Drosophila melanogaster: one gene and its partners. Changing the gene in region 1 together with any one later gene gives a genetic interaction. Each region holds a gene or a part of one and is shown on either strand. Other genes may lie near its edges.

Region 1 (8,355 bases):
ACCACCTCGGACACGGCCACCTCGTCCACATACAACAATGAATTCGAGTCACATCGACCACCCATTCGTCGCATTTCAGGTGGCTGGGCGGATTCTGGACTCAAAGGATTAAAGTGGGTATGATTAGGCTCGAATTAGGCACATTACTGATTGCTCTATATCTTTTTAGGTCCAAGAAAAACTCCTTTGATGAGTGAGTACAAGTTTATCACAATAACTTCACTTTCCACCGACTGTTATAATGATAAAATTCATTTTAGTGAGCGCTTTAAACAAACAAAGTCGGCTACAAATTCCATACCAACGGATGACATTCCCGTCATCCCAGACATGGATGATGTCAAGGACGAAATCATGCTCAATGAGATTGTAGAACCGCCAACGTAAGCAGAAGCTGCTATATTTCTCTTCACTACGATAATAAGTTGTAATTTGTAGTATTGGCACCTCACGATCTGCTGTTTTGAAGGAGGCCAATTCCGATTTGCTTTCCCAGTACGCCTTTTCAGCTGTGGATGGCTTTGATCTCTCAATCCTCACCGATTGCCTGGTTCCACAGGAGAGCCTCAACGAGAAGGACGATCTCTGGCAGTGGGACAAGCTGTTCACCGAGGTCACGGCTGAAATCCATTCGGATAAAGTGCCCAATATGGGCATGAAAATAGGACCCGATGTGATTCCACCCACACAATATACTTAGTATGATTTAGCCCACAATATCTGTGCAATACAAATGCTCAATAAGTTAAGCGAATACAAAAACATTTCTTGCCTTAAATGATCACAAAATATATACACTACAGAGATACTCAATTAAATTGTAAATTTTAATCTCTATAACCCTATTGGATGGCTCTGCCGACTCCATCGAAAGCCTTTTCCTTGTGATCCGCTGCATTGGCACGGGATTCGTAGTTGCATATGGTTACGCCATGGTAATGAGCTTCTGTGAACTCTCCTCGAAGACCTTTGAATAGTGACTTGGTTTTAGTTGGGAACACAGATAAAACATAGATTGTTGTGAGCTTACCTATATAGTAAATGCGTGTTATGTCTTCGCCAAAATTGCTGGGAAAGTAGAGGGAGAGATGGTGCACGGAGGAGAAGGTGACCACTTTGGGTGAGTACTCGATTTCTCCGCGGGCATCGCGGGTCAGCTGGAACTCCTGGTCGGGCTTTGCTCTGGCATCATCAAAGGTCATCCTGGGTCGGTTCTTGAAGCTGAAAAATAAGATATATGATGAATATAGTAATATTAAAGCAGCCTTGACTTTTGTTCCTTACATTTTGACCATGTTTGGATGGGAGTCATCATTGGCCCCACTTATGATGATGCCCTTGAGCTTGATGTTGCCGGTGAAGGGAATGTTGAAGAGGAGCTCTTCATCCGCATCGCTCTCCACGTACTTGGACAGATCCTGGCGCTTCTCGTACGGCTTAAAGACACTTTTTCCCTGGCCATCCGTCTCCTCGTTCAGGCACTCCACATTGTCCAGATCGATTTTGGTGTACAAGCTGTACTCGATGCCCATTTCTAGGGCGTGGTCCACGTCCGAGGCCTCGTGGCTGCAGCCGCCGTGATCGTGAGAGTGTCCGTGCGGCATTATTTTTATTTTAAATTCAAAAATCGAACAAAAATTCAATGTAAATAAAGCAGCCGAGTCACAACGCAAAATACGGTCACACCAATTTGCCATTCACAAGGGATGATGTTATCGATGCCGATAAGTTGGCGGTATATTTGAGCTCAGCGAGTGCGGCCACACTTTCCTTAACATTTCGCAGCAACGTGTTCTGTGTAAATCGCTGTGAATTTATTGTAGAATAACTGTGTTTTGTTAAAAAACTATAACTTAACCCTACAATGGCGCCCAAGGCAGCAGCTGTCAACATCAAGCCAACGGCCAAGGCCTTCAAGGACAAGTCGAAGCCCACCGATGTGCGTTTGTCCAACATCCAGGCGGCCAAAGGTGAGAAAAAGCGAGGAAATTAACAAAATTAAACACATTTTTGTATCAAAATGTTGGCGTATGTGCTATTTATTGAGCTAAGAACCGAGGTGACTGAATTCCGAGCAGTGGTGCATCAGAATTTCCGGCCAAATGGCCTATTGAAAAAGCAGTTGGATGCCGGCTGTCTGGAAACTTCTTGGGCGGAAGAAGAAGAAGAGCGCGCATTACTCATGTGATGAATTGAAACAACCTAAAAATTGAGGATTTTTAATACTCTATTCCCAATACCCTTTTATCCGCTACAAGGATTTTATTGTTTATCTCTTAAGATAAGTTACAGTAGATTTTTTGAATTAACACATAAAACACCATATGTCTTTTTGTATGTATGTATGTAAATTAGTCATGCTGCTGTGTAAAACTAACCACACGAATTCCACTTATCTGAGTTTCTCATTAAGTTTTAACGAAATATTAAAATACATTTATAACCTATTGAAATAATTCTGTTTTCCAGCCGTTTCCGATGCTATCCGCACCAGTTTGGGCCCCCGCGGCATGGACAAGATGATCCAGGCCGGCAACGGCGAGGTGTCCATCACCAACGATGGCGCCACCATCCTGAAGCAGATGAATGTACTGCACCCGGCTGCCAAGATGCTGGTGGAGCTGTCGCGTGCCCAGGATGTGGCCGCTGGTGACGGCACCACCTCCGTGGTTGTCATTGCCGGAGCTCTGCTTGAGGCGTGCGAGAAGTTGCTGCAGAAGGGTCTGCATCCCACGGCCATTTCGGACTCGTTCCAGCGCTGCTCGAACAAGGCCGTCGAGATTCTTAAACAGATGTCCACTCCCATCGAGCTGGACGACCGCGAGACGCTGATCAAGAGCGCCTCCACCTCGTTGAACTCCAAGGTGGTGTCGCAGCAGAGCAGCCTGCTGGCCCCCATTGCCGTGGATGCCGTGCTGAAGGTTACGGATCCCGGCAAGGAAACCTCTGTGGATCTCAAGAACATCAAGGTCATCTCCAGCCTGGGTGGCACTGTTGAGGACACCGAGCTGGTCGATGGATTGGTCTTCACCTGCCGCTCTGCCGGATCCAACGCTCCCAAGCGCATTGAGAAGGCCAAGATCGGTCTTATCCAGTTCTGCATTTCGGCCCCCAAGACCGATGTGAGTACATCGCTATGATCCTAACAATTTATTGTCTTTTATAATTTATGCCGAAATTACAGATGGATCACAATGTGATTGTATCGGATTACGCTGCCATGGATCGTGTGCTCAAGGAGGAGCGTTCATACATCCTGAACATTGTCAAGCAGATCAAGAAGTCAGGATGCAATGTTCTTCTCGTTCAGAAGTCTATCTTGCGGTAGGTTTAGCTTACTTGTTATTTGTCCACTTTGTGCTGATAGTTCTCCACTTATCTAGCGATGCTGTCTCTGATCTGGCTCAGCATTTCCTGGACAAGATCAAGTGCATGGTCGTTAAGGATGTGGAGCGCGAGGATATTGAGTTCGTGTGCAAGACCCTGCACTGCCGACCGATCGCTTCGCTGGATCACTTCACAGCCGAGAACCTTTCCAGTGCCGATCTGGTCGAGGAGGTGGCCAGTGGTACCAACAAGTTTGTGAAGATCACCGGCATTCAGAACATGGGACGCACTGTCTCGATCATCTGCCGCGGATCCAACAAGCTGGTGCTCGAGGAGGCTGCTCGCTCCCTGCACGATGCCCTCTGTGTCGTCCGTTGCCTGGTGAAGCTGCGCGCCCAGATTGTCGGCGGTGGTGCGCCCGAGATTGAGATGGCCCTGCAGCTAGCCGCATTGGCACAAACCGTGGAGGGTGTGGATGCGTATTGCTTCCGTGCATTTGCCGATGCTTTGGAGGTGATTCCCTCCACTCTGGCTGAGAACGCCGGTTTGAATCCCATTGCCACGGTCACGGAGCTACGCAACCGCCACGCTCAGGGTGAGAAGAACGCCGGTATTAATGTGCGCAAGGGCGCCATCACAGACATTTTCGCGGAGAACGTTGTGCAGCCGCTGCTGGTCAGTATTTCGTCGATCACCCTGGCCACGGAGACGATTCGATCGATCTTGAAGATCGACGATATTGTAAGTGTTATACAAATGAATGAAATGATTTAAATTTAAATGAATGTTTTTATTTATTCACAGGTCAACACCTTCAGTTAAGCAGTGTAATCCGCATTCTTCGGTCGTCTGCCTCTGATCAAGATCAATCTTCACGCAAATTCATCTAAAGTCTCACATCTTATGTCCATTATGCGGTTGCGCATTAAATTTTGAATAAAATTCACATATACACTACGCCTCACCAGCTTAACATGTATTTAAAAAATAAAACTATATGATTAAATACTTCGCTAACACAACCTACATGAAAACTTGAATTTAATTACTGATATGTGCTCTTGTTCTGAGGTTAAATAGTTCTATAAAATTAGTTAATCACAAATTGGAGTAAGGAAAAATGTTTAGGAAGTTCGTACTCATTATATAAAGACTTATATATTCCTTAAGATTAAAAGCTAATACCTTTTGCGGTTAAGCTTATTTGTAATACATATATATTTCCTTCTTAAATGGAATTTCTAAGATTTCATTACAGCGTAAAAGTCTATCAACTAACCGAAACCTTATCTAGTGAGCGAGTTCATTTTTCTTGTTCTTAGCCAACGCCTTGGGTTTCAAAGGGATGGCTCACCCCCAACCATTTCGCACCCCCGCCCCAATCATTGTATTCCGTTTAGGTTTTGGGGATCCTTTTTGTCCTGGGCGTGTAAATAAAAATCACTTGATGCGATTTTTATGATGTGCGTTAAATGATTAAACCACTTGAACTGGTTTCAAATTGTCAAAAAGGGAAGACTTAGGGGTTGGGTTGCGAAAGGGTCTTTATCCTTTTGTTTTCTTAGCCCCATTTTGGAAGTTCATGCGGGTGGGGTTTTCGCTTGGGTGTGATTAGACGGGGACTATCTAACGTGTCCGGAAACTTTCGGCGCGTGTAAGTTAATTAAATGTGTAAACATGTCAAAAGGGATCGAGTTCACCAGCCCACTATCTTCCACCACCCATCTAGGTGATGGCCAAGATGGTGTTGATTTCGGATCACGCCACTGATTGGCTTTGATTTTTTTTTTTAGCCCGTCCAATAAAAGCTATTCCGCTAATTGGCTGCTGAAAAGTTTTAGGGGTTGGTTTTCTATCACTTTTCCGGGAGACGCATGCAAATTTTCCATTTTAAAGTTTATTTGCGCAGCAGCCATTGATTTGGGTTTCCATTTTGACTTGCAGGGGGTGGAAAAGTCAGTGCTCGCTTTTCAGATGAGCATATTCTACATACATTTTTGATAATATGAGATCATTTTCTTTAAACTTAATTTTGTAATCAACATTTTTGAAAATCTCATTAAATAGAAAATACATGTTTTCTTAAGTATTTCAAGTACCAATCTTAAGCTTGCATTTTATCCACCTAAGAAAATGAAGTGTATCAACTCATTCGACTTGAGCAGCACCCCTCTTAGTTATTTATTTTATTTTCGCTACTTTTATATTTTTTAGCTATTTGCTCGACTGTCTTGGGGCATTGTCGTTCACGTCCTCGTTCCCATTTGTTTTTTGAGCAAATATTGAATTTGCGCTTTTTTCCCGAGCTATTTGCTCGCAGAGCCAGTGGCCCACACTTTTGAAACTTTTTATTTCGGGCACTTTTCCTTTGTTTCGCCTGTTTGCTTAATTTTTGTGTGCGATTTTCTTCATCTGCTTTTTGCTCATTTCATATTTTCATTGTAATTCAATTGTGTTTTCCCCGCGTTTGCTGCTGTTGTTTTTTTTTACCCAAATGTTTGCACAAGTCTTATGTTCTCCAGTCGGGCGAAAAGGGCGCAAAGGGGTGTGTATGTCCTGTATGTCCTGTGTGTCCTTGTTACATTTCTTTTTGCCAAACGAATTGAAATTCAAAGCAACGAATTGTCAGCCAGTCACGCAGAAATTTAACATATGCTCGCCATATAATTTGCGAGCACTTTCAACCGAAATTACCAGTGTCTGTCATATCTTAGATCTCGAGTATCTGGCAGATAGAATAGGAACAAAGGATGCTAAAAGATATAAAATGAATCAAATATATAAAGAAATAGTTTGCTAAGTGCAATAGCGTATTTATCGGTCTAAGAATTATGTTAATCTATCTTCCATAATTTGTACCTATTCTTATCATTTGTATCTCGTGTTACTTATTCATAAAACGAAAAAACTTTTTCTGTTTAAAAAAAATAGTTTTTCTTATGTCCTTAGACTTCAAGTATTTATTTAATGGTCCAAACATTTAACAGCTCAGTTTAGCGAAATACTTCCATCTAGTTCATGCCACTCAAGGAGGCAAGACCGAAATGCTTATCAAGAATAGAAATGCTGAAGCAAAAGCATAAAGGAAACTTAATTTTCGTTAGTCCTGCCAAGTGGCGAGTGATTAATGATGTCAGGACGACGACAATATTATGAAAACGCATTCGAAAATTTCATTAAATTGTTATAAATGAATCGGGCGAAACAGGAATGAAACATATTCCGGCGAGAAAATTCAATTTGCAAATGCAGCAAATATTTCAACGTTCGTTGAAAGGAAAGGAAATCAAATCGATCAAATGAAAGCCAAATGAAATCTCGACCGGACGATCTGAAACCACCGGGGTAATCCCCCCGAAATAATAGCCCACGGGGCTTATCAACCCACTTGGACCAGTTCAGGCTTAGGGCACTTTGAATATGACCAATGCAATTGAAGTTTCCCCCCATTGAAAACCGAAATTGCGTCCGCTGCCATTCTTCTTTACATTTTGGCCATGTGGAATGGACGGACGTCGTCTGCACTGGACTGATAACATTCAAAGAGTCCCAAGCCCCCGAGCTGCCCAAAATTCGAGTGCCCGCCAATTAAGTGTGAGTGCTGGAATCGATGGGCTTTTCCTTTTGGCCTCCGTTTGATGTGTGCTAGAGTGTGTGTGTGTGTGTGTGGGCGAATGGCCTGCAAATTAAATGGGGTAAGGATTCTGGTCGAGATTTCACCTCTGGCCAGATTAAAAATTTATTCGCAACTCTGGCCAGCTGCAGGCAAGTAAAAGTTTTAAATAAATATGTGTTGCCTCAAAGTGAAATACATAAATTAAAATTAAAGTAGCCTCTAAAAATCAAAATGCAAAAGGATATGTGTCTATTCAGATTGATTTTAAACCAGGCATATGTAGGTATAAATGTCTATATTTATTCAGGATATTTTGAAGCTTTCCTTAAATGCATAGAAAATATTACTCAATAATATTTATCCAGCTTAAAAAAATGCTAAAAAACCAGTGCTAAGCACATGTGTCCTTTCCACTCCTTTTCACAATCATTTACCTAATTTATTGGCACACTTCCATTAAGATATCTCCATCGAGGACTTGACTCGCTTAAGCGATTTCCAAAGGATACAACTGGGACAACATAAAATACTTCCACTGCCCACATCGTAGTCCAAAAAAAAAAAAACAGCAAACAACACAGGAGCTATATCCATACTACCCATACTACAAGACCAAAATCAACCACCGAGGCGAGGAGCATATGACATAACCATGTGTGAATTGATGGCATGAACCCTTTGCCAACTTCCCCAACTCTATCATTTTTTTAGAGATTCGTGCCCTAAACGAATCAGAGCCCGGCAAACTTTTGGCAGCAGGGGGAAAATCCGGGCCGAGGGATCGGAGTTGGGGGTTGGTAAAAAAAGGATTTACACGCTTGCCTCGATATACAAATAAGGGTTCTGTCTGCGCTGCCATATTGACTGTCGCCGGGCCCAAAAAGATGAAGTGATTTCTTATCCAACAAATCCACACTCGACAACCAAAGCAACCAAAAAAATAAAAAAAAAAGGGGTTGCTGGTTTGGGTCCTTCCTTCGCATCCTTTTGCTGTTTTGGCCCGCGTTTGCCAGGAAGTTTATTAAAAAATGGTCTTGTTTGCCTTTGTCGCGTGGCTGGCAAACGCTTTTGGGGCGGGCCAAGGAAATCAGTTAACTAAATACCTCGTTCAATATTTATTTAGGCTCTGCCTAATGAGATTCGAGTGCGTTTTTATATGGCACACGCTGGAGTAAACCTAAAGAGCTGGCTAATTGAATAATAAGCTAGGGCTTTTCAAAAACATACAGCTGGTAAATATGGGTGGCAAATTAAATGAAACTCCTTTCTTTAGTGCATTGAATAAGATAAATAAAAATAAAATAAATGTTTTTAAAAAATAATATAGAAATGGAATGGAACTAAGCAGAAGATTCTAATATATAGACCGCATATCTTGAACTGCATCTATCTTTGATTACAGTTTCCACCCA
Region 2 (6,736 bases), 3.1 Mb from region 1:
AGTGGCAGCTGTTGAAGATCCTACCCCAACTAAAAGGATTCTGGCAATGTCTCTGCTGTTGCTTTTGTAACTTCAATTGACTTCCCCCTCGCTAATTGTATCCTGTCGCGTTTCCTTTTCCCCTAGCCCTACCCCTCCCTCCCCTCCTCGCTTCCTTTCTTCCTTCATTTATTTTCCTTTTTCCGTGTGACATATGGGCCTGGCGTTATATTCGCCACGATTTATGGACCTCCCTTCGGCCTACCATTCAGTTCGACACCTTTTTTTCCTACCCCATATGCGAATGCTTTTTAGCCAACGACTTTCTTTCCCCTACTTTCTTGTTCTTACGCAACGGATTGTCTATTTTCCTCACTTTTTGCCTCGCTTTTCTTTTGCGTTTTCCGGCCTTTTCTCATGCACAATATTTTGCTGTTTCCAACCATCATTTTCACACTAATTGCGGATATGCCTTCTAATTAATTGGGTTCCCTCTGCTTCCCCGAAGTCCTTTTAGAGCATTTTTGCTTTCTTAGTTTTCAACCCCCTAACTATTCTACTTACAACAAAGAAATTTCCTTACACAGAAAAATAAGTCTCTTTGGTCATTTAAGAATATGTTAAAAATCTTAAAACAATTAATAAGATCATCATTTAAATCGTAATCCCAATATAAAGATCTGGGTTTTGTAAATATTCGAGCTCAAAAAACATTATGAAACAATTTGTATCTTTAAGATACAGCAGAAACCTAAAAACGCAATAGAATAGACATTTATCTCTCAGTTGTAATCATGTTACACATCTAACATCATTTATAGTCGGATTAATGTAATCTTTTTTGTAAATCACAAAACGTCCTAAAATTAATATTCGTTAATAAGGATGCGATAATATCCTTTAGTTTTACAAAACAGTTGACAGCGGCTCTTGGCAAACAAATGACTGTATTATCGCTAGAGCAATCCAATTCTTGTCCAAATACCAGTGACTAAGATAGATTCCTACCTAATTGCAGGAACTGCCCACACGCAGGCTGCGGCTGCAACTTCCTCTAATGAAGATTAAGTGAAGAAGGCTGCGAGTTCGGGCGAAATCCGCGGCGACAGGTATACAAATATGAATAATGCCGCGGATCGAGCGGATAAACTCGGGGGTTTCCTTTGCGCACAGCGCCTAATTAAAGGTGTACGATGCATGAGTGAATCTGTTTACCTGGACGGGGTCCTTCAAGGTCATTTAACTGGAAAACCGAGTGTCGAAAATAAAGTCGACCGTATTTTTTTCCCTCATCTTCGGAATATTTGCTTTGTGCGGAAGATTTCCCACAAGGAAATGGGACCAAGTCTCGAGATACAATATGAAATGCAACTTGAGGCAATGCAAAGAAGAATGCGCAAAATGCGCAAAGAAGAGCGCAAAAAAAATTATATACAAATATGTATGTATCTCGAGTATATGCCAGACTATATACATATGTACATATGTAGAGGGAAAACAGGTCTCGAGTTATCCGGCGTCTTCAACTGTCTGGGCCTGCAATTTTTGTGCGTCCTTTTTGGGCTGCATTTTGGGCTCCTCTGCACATGCGGCGAGATACATTCCTGAGATACTCGAGATAAAAATGCACATGCATCTGGGCATTTGTGGCGTTGTCCATGCCAATGCCGCCTCCTCTCCATTGTTGTGGTTTGGCCACCACTCTTGCAATTAGTTGGAACTCGGTGGACCGAAAGTCTGCAGGAGTTGTGTAACAACATAGCTACATAATGCTGATAGGGTAAGAGGGTGAAGTTCATTAGGAAGATATTTTCTCAAATCGAAAGCCTAATCATATTTGCATAATATGAAACTATAAATAATACTACTAAAAGTTTAAACCAATACACGAAGATTGCTTTATAAGCATCATTGAATTGAACCCGATCTTTGATGCTTCCTTTTCATACTCATGAATGCGTTTAAATTCTAATGGTCAATTGGCCCAAGTTTGCTGTGTTGCTTCAGTCGCATATGCCCACCCTACCCAGAACTACAGGGTACTGCAAACGAGAACAGGAAAGTCGATCCTCGCCTGCGCGCATCAGTGTATCTGTGAGTCCGAGTATCTGAGTATCTGTGTGCCGGGTATCTAAAGAGCGCCGCCTGGGCAAAACGGCGTGTGAAAGTAAAGTCGGCCCAGCCGATGGAGGAGAACAAATCAAAGTTCTTGAATGGAGCGGCAGCGGCGGCGATGGCGACGGCGGCGTTCCAGTTCCAAGAATCGATGGCCTTGAAGTAGCCGTTAGGACATCGGGACGCGCTCAATTGACTATTTAGTTTATATTTAGCAGCGTCTAAAAGGATGCCCACAGCGAGTCAGCTAGCTCAAGTGGCCTGCGTCCTGTCTCTTCCCCGCTCCACAAATCGCCAGTCGGACGGACTATCCTTTGTTTGTCTGGGAATAACTGGAAACTGTTTATCATTGTTGTTTCTGCTCCTCATACATACGGCTTCACCTCATTCCGATTCCGAATCGGATTCTTCTGCCGCAGCGACAAAAATGTGTATGGACTATAAAAAAAAAATGCCCACATATACATACATATGTACATATGAACCATTTATTTAAGGAGTTACTATTCACAACTCATCCTTTTGGAGAACATGTAATATTTGTAAAACATTCCGCACTTGTAATTGAGAAATATTGTTGGTATTTTACTAGGAATTCGGGTTAATATGGCCAGTTGATATGTGTGGATTCCTATAACCATTTACGTATGTATGTACATATGATGAGAAAATATTCGAGATCAGTTTGGGTTCCCATCTCGTCTAGAAAATCCTTTGATGACATACCGCTTTCGAAGGTGGCAAGCACTTGGAGGATCATGAGCAGAATTGAAAGGTGTTGACTAGGATTTGAATAGATCATATAAGGAGTGTTTAGGTGGGTCAAACAAAAGAAAATGTTGGGAAAATATACAAAATTCACGACACTGAATCATCAAAAACTTGATGCTCTTACTTTTTTCAAAATCACTTCTAAGAAAAACAATTTATTTCCCCATGGTTTAAACTGGCCAAATCTAAACATAAGCGGCTGATTTTCGGCACGATCATGACATAATCGAAAAATTAAGTATACAAAAATCCACCCCATCAACAATACACCACCCACCCCCCACGCACACCCCCGCCGCGATCGCTCCAAAAGTTTAACGGCGCAAAAAGCGAACACGCAAACTAAAAAACGTCAAAAGAATGCAAAAAATAAAGAAGAAAGCAAAAATTGCGAAGAAAACAACAACAAAATGAATGTGGCAGGTAAATGGAAGCAGAGGAGAAGAGGAAAGAACGAAGATGGCGCGAAGCAAGGTGGAGACGAAGGGGAAGCGAAAGCAAAACGCCGAGAAATATCAATGAACTCCATTCTCCACTTGGCAGTCTATCTCGCTCACTCATTGGTTGGGAGCACGTACATAGAGTAACTACTCACAAAAATAAATATAACCACGATTTTACAATAATTAAAATACTATTATTAATTCTACATATGTAAACATACATACATATGTATGTACGTAGATTGTGGGTAAGGGCTAAATGCCACTACCAATCTTTTTCTTCGTGTACCAAAGATATTTGCGCCACTTTTGACATAATTCATTATTTTGTTCTTCACTCGTTTACTCCATTTTGCTTTGAACCTCTGCTTCGTGTTCGTCAAGTTTTCGAAAGGTCCGTCGACTGATCGGCGATTTTCCGAATTTTTTCGACGTCGCAGTCAAATGCTCTCTTTTTTTCCGTTTTAGAGCGCAGTACTAAAACGTTTTTGTTTGTTGTTGGTGTTGGGAAGGGGAAAATAACTTGACTCGCTGTTCTGATTGGAATAAAACGGAAGAGAGCGAGAGAAAGAGAGCTTACTCTCTCTCTTAGCGAGCGCATTTCTTCCAAGTTTGTGCTTGTGTGTGTGTCATTGGAGGAAGCGTATAAAAATGAAATGAGCATGGGAAAAGAATGGAGAAACGCAAAGTGGCGCGAATTAGGCGTTTGGGCTGGGGCAGTTTTGTTTTACCGCCCAAAATCTATGCGAATGGCGGGAAAAAGTGCAATTCGGGCGGGAGAAAGATTAGAAAGTTGGCCCAAACAGCAGGGTAAACCATAAGCTGCATCTCAAGCCTTCTATAGTAAGAAAAGCTGTAATAGTTCACTGAACTCCCGTTACGCATTAGAAACTCAGTGCACTTTTAGACGTGATTAGAAGCTTTCATTTATTTCATAGGATTTTCCAATTTGTTCCCATTGGATAACGGTTTAATTCTAATAGGACACTTTTCCTTATAGGGGGAACACTAAAACACTGTGTGGGGGAGACAATTTGTAGTTGGACACCCCGTCTCTTGCCAATCAGAAAGCAACGGTTAAATCCTACAGCGTGTCAATTTTCTTATAAGAGGATGTTGTATTTGTAGCAAAAAATGCAAAGACACGACGGCAAACGCAGCATTCTCTCCCGCTCTTTCCTTCACTGTTCCACACACACTTGTCACCGCACACGCGTCATAAATTTTATTCCACTCTGAATAACGTATTGCCTTTTATCCACTAAAACCATTGTGCAATTGGTTTTACCTTCTAGTAAGCGGAAAAATGCTTAACATAATATCCCCGGTGTTTTCACTTGTTTTTCTTAAAGGGAATTGAACAACGTTTTTCGAGAGTTTTTCGTCGTCGTCGTCGCCGGCCACGAAAAAACTTCACGAGCAGCGGAGCGGCGGCAGCAAAGTGATCGCTTTGGAACCGAAAAAAAAATTGGTGGAACTGGGTATCAAAAGCAGCGACGTCGACTGCGGCGAGTGTGCATGAGGAACGCGCCAAAACAGGCGGATCCGAAGCGCCAAAAAATGCAACAAACACAGGGGGCAACTTTGTTGTACTCTAGGGGAGGGACGGAGATGGGGCGAGCATCTCCAGCGCAAAGAACAGAGCGTGAGAAAGCGAGACGGGGCGATGAAGCCGCTGGTGGCAAGCTTGGCATTTTATTGAATGGAGTCTGCAATTGGAGTCCCCAGTCCCCAACAGGCTAGTCAGACTACAATTGGAGGTTCGACGTCCAGTCAGCTGGGTGGTCGAAAAACAGCTGACGAGGATGCCAGAAGGGCGGATTTAGTCGGATATATCGTGGTTATATATAAATACCTAAGATTTATTTCTATGTCATATGCCAATTTTAATTCAAATATGACCTTCAGAAAATAAATATTTAAATTTTAATATGAAACTATTTTTTTTAATATATTTTTAAAGCGCTCCAAAATCAATTCAAGGTTAAAATAAATTTATCTTGAAGGGTATTCATAAATCTTTAAAATTTTAATTATTTATTTATTCTTCAGAAGCCTGAAATTACATGGTTTAATATGCTTTTCTAGTAGTTTTTATGAACTGCAGCCAAATAACATATGACAAGATGACTGAGGTCGAACTAGGTGGTAACGCTGCTTTGAAACCAAACAAACCACTGCCACTTTGTTGTTTTCATCGATTAACATTCGAGCATTTTTGGCACCAACTTCGAGCGCTTATAAATCAGGTAAGCTAAATGAAAAACCATGCGTGCCTATAACCAATTGAAAGATCAAAACTCGCAGAATCTGATTTTTCACTAAAATCGAAAATCCCGTTCAATTCGGCCAAATTAGAATCGATTGAACTTGATGATTTCCCGCGCGCGGGAACCCGACGTCGGCGCGCGCTGCTGACAGCGATGACAGCTGCGCGCGCAAAGAGAAGGCGCGGAAGAGAGCGCGAGAGGGGCAGGGGAACAGAGAGAGAAAGAGGCAAAAACGTCGACGTCGCTGCTCACGTTTTTTTTCCATTACTTTTCGACTGCTACAATATCGATGGAGAAAACGGGGTCTAAAGGAAATGGCTTAAAAAGCAAGTTCACGAACTTTTGAACCCTGCACCTGCTGCAAATCGAATGGGCCAATTGGCCGGCATCACTCACCTGCTGTTGGGCAGGATTCGGGCAAATTCTCAGCGGGATTGCACACTGAAAAACACACGCGGACTGGAATGGTGATGAAAAAAATTGCACACACCGCCGCACACATACACACGCACGCCAGCCAGCAAGACAGTATAGCCTCCTTTTTGTCACCTTTTTCGACAGATTTATCGTGGTTCTGCGGTCTTTTTCACGGCTAGCTCAACCCCACGGCAGTCAAGGCCAATTCGATGCGATCCCCGCGATTTTTCAGCGACTCCAAAGTAACACAATGATCGCAAGTGGCACTGTGACGAGATCGAAATCGAGAGAGCGATGAAAGAGCAAAAAAAAAGGCCATAATCATCTGGCCACACGGCGCAAAGAGAGAGTCGGAGTTTAGTGGCAGCGGCGTTGCCACTACGGCCGATCGCGTTGCGGGATTTTTATTGGCGCGTTATTCAAATTTTGAAAAATAACTTCTATGTTAGCCTGACTTTTACTGCTCTGCATATTTAGTTCACTATTTTTCCGGGCTGATCATATCTGGAAATCGGGTATTTAAAATAATAAAAGATGTGCAACGTGCTTAATGTTAAATGGGGTTTTAGAAAAGAAATTGTATTATATAAATTTTGCTTTGATTGTTCGATTAACGGATATTAAATAATTGGATTTTCCGTTGGGAGCGTAATTTGAAACGCATATTTGATACGCTTATATTGTTTTTGTTTTATTGTTATATTCTTGTTTTTATCATGCGACTATCTAGTAATTAAATTC
Region 3 (5,754 bases), on another chromosome or scaffold:
AGCTGCACGCCTTTGATAGCCGGGGACGCGGCCACACCTGGCGGCTCTGCATCGCTGTGATACCTCTGTTTATCGCACTGCTGGTTGCAGTTAGTCGCACCTGCGACTACCACCACCACTGGCAGGATGTGACCATCGGCGGGCTGATTGGCCTGTTTGCAGGCTATATAAGCTACACACAATACTATCCCTCCATCTTCTGCCCTGATGCCGGCATACCACTGGTCAGGTGGCCCAGCAGAGAGGGAAGCCAGTACCAGCGACTGTCTGGAAAGGACGACAATGGCAGTCGTGGTCCCCACCATCTCGATGGTGGGGATGCGGTGCGGAGACCTCTGCTCGCTGACAAGGAGGAGTCCAAATGGTACTAAAAGCTTTACGTAATATTATTGTGAGTGTTGCTTTCCCGTTTAAGGTTTTTAAACATATTAGACAATTTCTGATTTAAAAATGTGCTGCTGGTTTACCTCGTAATAGGATGGGTAGGGTTTGTTAATAAAAACTAAGCGCGTCAATTGCTAAACGTAAATTTATTGCTCATCTTTAGCAGCAACATCCAAATCTAATTTGCTACATCAAAGTGACCGAAACTAGCCTAAAGGACACGATATGCACACTCAGATTCAAGTCATGGAATTGAAGGCCTGCAGAAGCACCTGTTTTTCGCGCTCCTTTTTCTTAACTACGTCAAGACTGCGTTGTCGCCACGTGCTCTTGCGCAGTTTGATAGGCCGGCTGCCCACATAGCGGCCGTCCATCTCCTTCATGGCCCGTATAAAGTCGGCCGGTTCTCTGAAGCTCACGAAGCCAAATCCCTTGCTCTTGCCCGTGCGCTTGTCCCGCACCACACGGGCCCGCTGAAACGAGGGGAACTTGTTGAAGGTCCGGGTCAGGACCTCGTCGTTGACGTCGTTTCCCAAGTCACCACAAAAGATGCGGAAGTCATCGTCGGGCCAGTCAGCCAGCGAAGTATCCTCCCACACGGTGCCGCCAGCGATACGCACCGTCTTGCGGTCTTTCTTTTTCCGCTCTGTTGTCTGGAAGGATTGCAGCGCCGATGATGCGCGCGCTGCCTTAATGGCCTCCTCTGCAATGGGATTGGGTCCAGACTTTTCCGCCTTGAGCTTCTTCAGCTTCTGCGTTACGTCAAAAGAGACGGCGTTGATGTCGATGGAGGGCGCGGCGGCCACGGTGGGCACGTGCACAGACTGCCGGCACTGATAAAGTTTGGGGGCGCTGCTCAGGACTACGGGAGTGGCAGACATAGCCTTGGAAGAACCACCTCCACTGCCCGTAGGCACGAAGGTGGACATAAACGTGGGTGGAGGCGGCATCGGGGGCGGGGGTACGGTCAGACGCGATCCTCCATTGCCCTGGTGATGCTGCAGCTTGTGCTGCGAGTTTTGGTACGTATTGGCGGCTATGATCGGGCGCACCTGGTTGGGCACGAAGAGATTGCGGGCGGGGGGCTTCGAGATCTCCGCCTCGAAGCGTGAGAGCTCATCCTCGATGTTGCGACGCTTTGTACCCATTTGAAGTGGGGTTTTCTCTTTTAAAAAATCAAATCAAAGCAAGTTTTTACGAAAGTGCTGCAGAAAACTCGGAGTACTAAACAAATATCGATTTCGTTCCCAATCGATTGCACTATTTTTATTTTAAAGGCCTGTTTAGACATGTCCACAGAATCAGGCTCTATTTGCAATATATAACAAATAAAACAGTTATTTTAATATCATAAAACGAAGACATTTAATATGTTTTAACTATTTAAGAAAATAACTGCGACTTTTTACACTTGATTACGACAAGCACCTTTCCGAACGGGCCTTGATATTTTCTGCAATTGTTGACCGTTAAACTAGTAGACGATAGTGTAGTGTGACGGTTCCTCATTAGCTGGCAAATGCCTTATGTTAGTAGGCTAGGAGTGGTATTTCGGCTTCGTCGACACCAGCACTGATTCAACTTCAGAATTACTGTTTTCTTTTAGACGATCTGATAAATAATACTGGAATTAAAATCGCCGGAAAAGCTCTAGCTGTGATAGAAAGTATCCTCAGCAAGCAAAATAAACGCAGAAGCAATATTCCTCATACACACATTTAAAGAAGGAGCACGGGCATACCCACACAAGCGCACAAAAAGTCGAGGGGCGACAGCAAAAACAAAAGTGTGGAAAATCACAAAACCAATAAATTTCTCCATTTATTTCAAAGCACTGGGCCCCAGGAAAATGCCAACCAAGGAGCGCCACATAGCCATGATGGGCTACCGATCAGTGGGTGAGTTTTCCCAGAAAGTTCCGCCAGAAGCACTGACACTGTTGCTGCTGGCACTGGTAATTGCGTAGTATTTCGACAACAGCAAGAACTATGATCAATTGACCATAATAATTACGCTTCGCCCGCAGGCAAATCGTCGCTATGCATACAGTTCGTGGAGGGCCAGTTCGTGGACTCCTATGACCCCACCATTGAGAACAGTAAGTGTCACATCCCATTCCGTGCGGATTTCTTAGAAGCCAGGCTGACTCCATGCTTCGATAGCAGTAGCAATGCGTAATGATCGGTAATTCCCATTCGCAGCCTTCACCAAGATCGAGCGTGTAAAGTCGCAAGACTACATCGTAAAGCTCATCGACACGGCGGGCCAGGACGAGTACAGCATATTCCCGGTGCAGTACAGCATGGATTACCACGGCTACGTCCTGGTGTACTCGATAACCAGCCAAAAGTCTTTTGAGGTGGTGAAGATCATATACGAAAAACTGCTCGACGTAATGGGCAAGAAATAGTAGGCTTCTTCCCCGTGGGTTCCGCTTGAGAGCTAAGCTAATCTTTTTTGCCTTTCAGTGTACCTGTGGTGTTGGTCGGCAACAAGATCGATCTCCACCAGGAACGAACCGTTTCCACGGAGGAAGGCAAGAAGCTGGCCGAGTCCTGGCGAGCTGCATTTCTCGAAACGTCCGCCAAACAGAACGAGGCAAGTACCAAGACGAATCACACTAGCTGAATGCAACTAAGGTACTTCCTTCGCAGTCCGTGGGAGATATATTCCATCAGCTACTGATCCTCATCGAAAACGAGAACGGCAATCCCCAGGAGAAGAGCGGTTGTCTTGTATCGTAGGGCGGCTGAGTAGCTAAAACTACGGCCGAACTGTTGGAAATACGGCAAATCGCTATGGCAATACGAAAATCGATTATCTCTTATCTACACAGTTGGGTCAGCGTGCATGGCGGGGCCGTACCCTTTGTGCGCAGCAGGAAAATCTAAAAATCTAATAGACCTAGTATTCTTAAGACCACACAGCAAGTAACCAATATCAAGCGATCTGAATGCGTCCGCTAAACGCTGCCCAGCAGGTTTTGTGGTTCGCGTCTGGCGCAACACAACAGGTTTAAGTTAGTACGTTTTTTTTACAACAACAATTCAGTTACAAATTTCATATACAAATTCTGCAAACTTTTAGTTTCAATTTAAATATAATTTTTCAAAATACTATTCAAGATTGTATTTTAATGGTCAACATTTTCGATTGTGAAAAATATAGAGGTTGATTTACTAAAGTTACAAGTGCGTCGAGAAGACCTGCCAGTTGCAATTCCAAAAAGCTGGATTTACTTTATCTCGTCCCTATAACTGATTAAATAGGACCAATACCTTAATGATTTCTATAGATTCCCAACCGTTGTGAATTCTCTGGAGACCAAGGTTCAGCAAGTAAAAGAACTGGGAGGATCTCGGTATGGTTCTTAATAAGAGTAATTTCAAACCAAATTACTATTTGGATAAACTGAAAGACTCACCTGGCCACTCTAGCAATATCTGCATCTGTTAGCAAAAAAAGGGGTCTTTAAATTTTAATACCGCTATTTCTTATGTCACAATTGGTCGGACGAATTTGATTGAATTAAGATTTGGCTGGCTTAATATTTCTAAAGACTGATTATAGAAAAAAGACATAGAAATTATTTCGCATTAAACCGATTATGAATAAAAATATTTCTTGTCTTACTTATCTTAAATCTAAAATGCCGGCTAACAGAGCGTTGCGCGGACTAACAGTGCTGTTAACTGTCAGCTGCCATAACCCACCACGAAAATAGCAAATCCACCACAACGCGAGTTCCAATCGGACCGAGAGTTAAATGTTTTCCGATTTTCAAACAGCGAACTTGTGCGTGCGTTAAAATTAAACTCGTTCAGCATTTAAATCGTGTGAGATCTTTGCCTTTTAACGGTAATTTACCAAAGCGAGCGATTCGTATTAAATGTGAATGTTCCCCATGCAGAAGAAAGCGAGCTTGTTTTTCTTCTCTATTTTCTGTATTGCAATTGTTTTTTTGGCTGACTTTGGCTGGGTCTGTGTGTGTATACTTGTGCGCAATGCGTGGGTATTTTCTCAGTTTTTTGTTCTATTTTCAAATTTTATTGCTCTCGCATAATGGTATACATATGTACATCATTATGTTTGACCGTTATTTCGAATCTCCAACACCGCGAGTTTTTTGTGACGGCATTTCCCACTCACGATTTGTAAGCAATCTCTATACATTTGTATGTACATATGTATGTGGATAGGCATGTTTGTACAACTGCACTTACAACCCGCTAATCAGGTGCAATGCACATACATTCATCGATTCCGACTCGGAATCCCAATCGGAATCCGAATGGGTGGGTACTGGCTTTTCTTGTTGCTTCCTTTACGGGCCACAGCCTTTTATCGATTTAATAACAAACGAACGTCAGCGAGTCGTTGGACTCTGCAAAAACCGGCACTCGCACTTGGCGGCGATGTCTGGCCAGGATTAGAGATGGGAGCTTTCAGATGGCAACGGAATAGATGTTATTGACGTACTTACCAAAGCTTACATATGTATGTGCAGATATGTTTGATTTCCAGGTTCATTTAGCTGACTGGCGATAAGTGTTGCACGCGTATCAATATTCATACCCCCTGGTGGTGGTGGTGGATCTACAGAACCAGGCTATGCCCATCTGGGGGATGGGCCCATGGCTGATAAGATATGTCGCGATTTTATAGCGCCCATAAAAGCCGCAGCAAGCCCACAAAACAAGTGAAACCTGCCGATTGTGCTATCAGGGGATTAAACTCACAAAATGAAAAATCAGTCCATACTACATTGTAAATATCGTTGAAGCTCTTATTTGCAAATTAAAACACATTACTCCTTGGCTTTAAAGACACAATCTAAATGGAGTAACAAATTGAAATTATACTTATGTATTTTCCTTACCAACAACTCGCTAGTTTGATGACCTTAACTGACCGCAATTAATAGTATTTTTATTTATCATCAAGCTGGCCTGGGAGTCCCGTTAGAGTGCTTAATTGGCACAGCAAGTGCCAGTGAGGCAACTGCATTTTTCAAATTAAAGAGAACTAGCGACCCACAAAATTCGTACAGCGAATGAGCTTAGCACATTTTCCCCGCATTAATGCGGCTGCATTAATTGCATTATGTACCTGCGAGCCCACTTGTGTGCATTATGTATGTTTAAACACACTCCTTCCGCGTATTTACATATATGTGTGTACATACATACGTATGCATGTAGCCATGCTAAAAGATAGTCTAGATCTAGATCAGTGCAGCCAAGCAGATGGGGTTTTTGTGCTCGGATGTGCGCCGCCAAAAGGGGAAAGTGCTCACTTATCCAATCCCACTGCCGAGCTACCAGTCGCAATTGAACTAATGAAATGTAGCCATCCTCCAACACGTCATGC

What was found.
Region 2: of CCT4 (region 1) and CycE, changing one suppresses a phenotype caused by changing the other (phenotypic suppression), as found in Drosophila melanogaster (one study listed by BioGRID).
Region 3: of CCT4 (region 1) and Rheb, changing one enhances a phenotype caused by changing the other (phenotypic enhancement), as found in Drosophila melanogaster (one study listed by BioGRID).

The regions. Positions count from the first base shown.
Region 1 is NT_033779.5:12,686,332-12,694,686, reverse strand, and holds CCT4 (chaperonin containing TCP1 subunit 4), read left to right. Parts: upstream 1-1,752; 5' UTR 1,753-1,864; coding exon 1,865-1,970; intron 1,971-2,469; coding exon 2,470-3,122; intron 3,123-3,184; coding exon 3,185-3,324; intron 3,325-3,383; coding exon 3,384-4,068; intron 4,069-4,131; coding exon 4,132-4,149; 3' UTR 4,150-4,351; downstream 4,352-8,355. Other genes in the region: IFT43 (intraflagellar transport 43), read left to right, coding at 1-113, 170-193, 261-383, 439-700; CG6153 (uncharacterized protein), read right to left, coding at 843-967, 1,031-1,221, 1,285-1,604.
Region 2 is NT_033779.5:15,741,859-15,748,594, forward strand, and holds the start of CycE (cyclin E), read right to left. Parts: upstream 4,753-6,736; 5' UTR 4,626-4,752; coding exon 4,597-4,625; exon of another isoform or gene 4,399-4,596; intron 3,786-4,398; exon of another isoform or gene 3,534-3,785; intron 1-3,533. UniProt on the Drosophila melanogaster protein: Essential for the control of the cell cycle at the G1/S (start) transition. Targeted by archipelago for degradation by the SFC ubiquitin ligase complex.
Region 3 is NT_033777.3:5,566,990-5,572,743, forward strand, and holds Rheb (Ras homolog enriched in brain), read left to right. Parts: upstream 1-1,931; 5' UTR 1,932-2,050; exon of another isoform or gene 2,051-2,216; 5' UTR 2,217-2,233; coding exon 2,234-2,282; intron 2,283-2,410; coding exon 2,411-2,482; intron 2,483-2,585; coding exon 2,586-2,793; intron 2,794-2,852; coding exon 2,853-2,982; intron 2,983-3,038; coding exon 3,039-3,128; 3' UTR 3,129-3,502; downstream 3,503-5,754. Other genes in the region: CG12746 (uncharacterized protein), read left to right, coding at 1-371; CG2931 (uncharacterized protein), read right to left, coding at 624-1,532. UniProt on the Drosophila melanogaster protein: Binds GTP and exhibits intrinsic GTPase activity. Activates the protein kinase activity of TORC1, and thereby plays a role in the regulation of apoptosis. Stimulates the phosphorylation of S6K through activation of TORC1 signaling.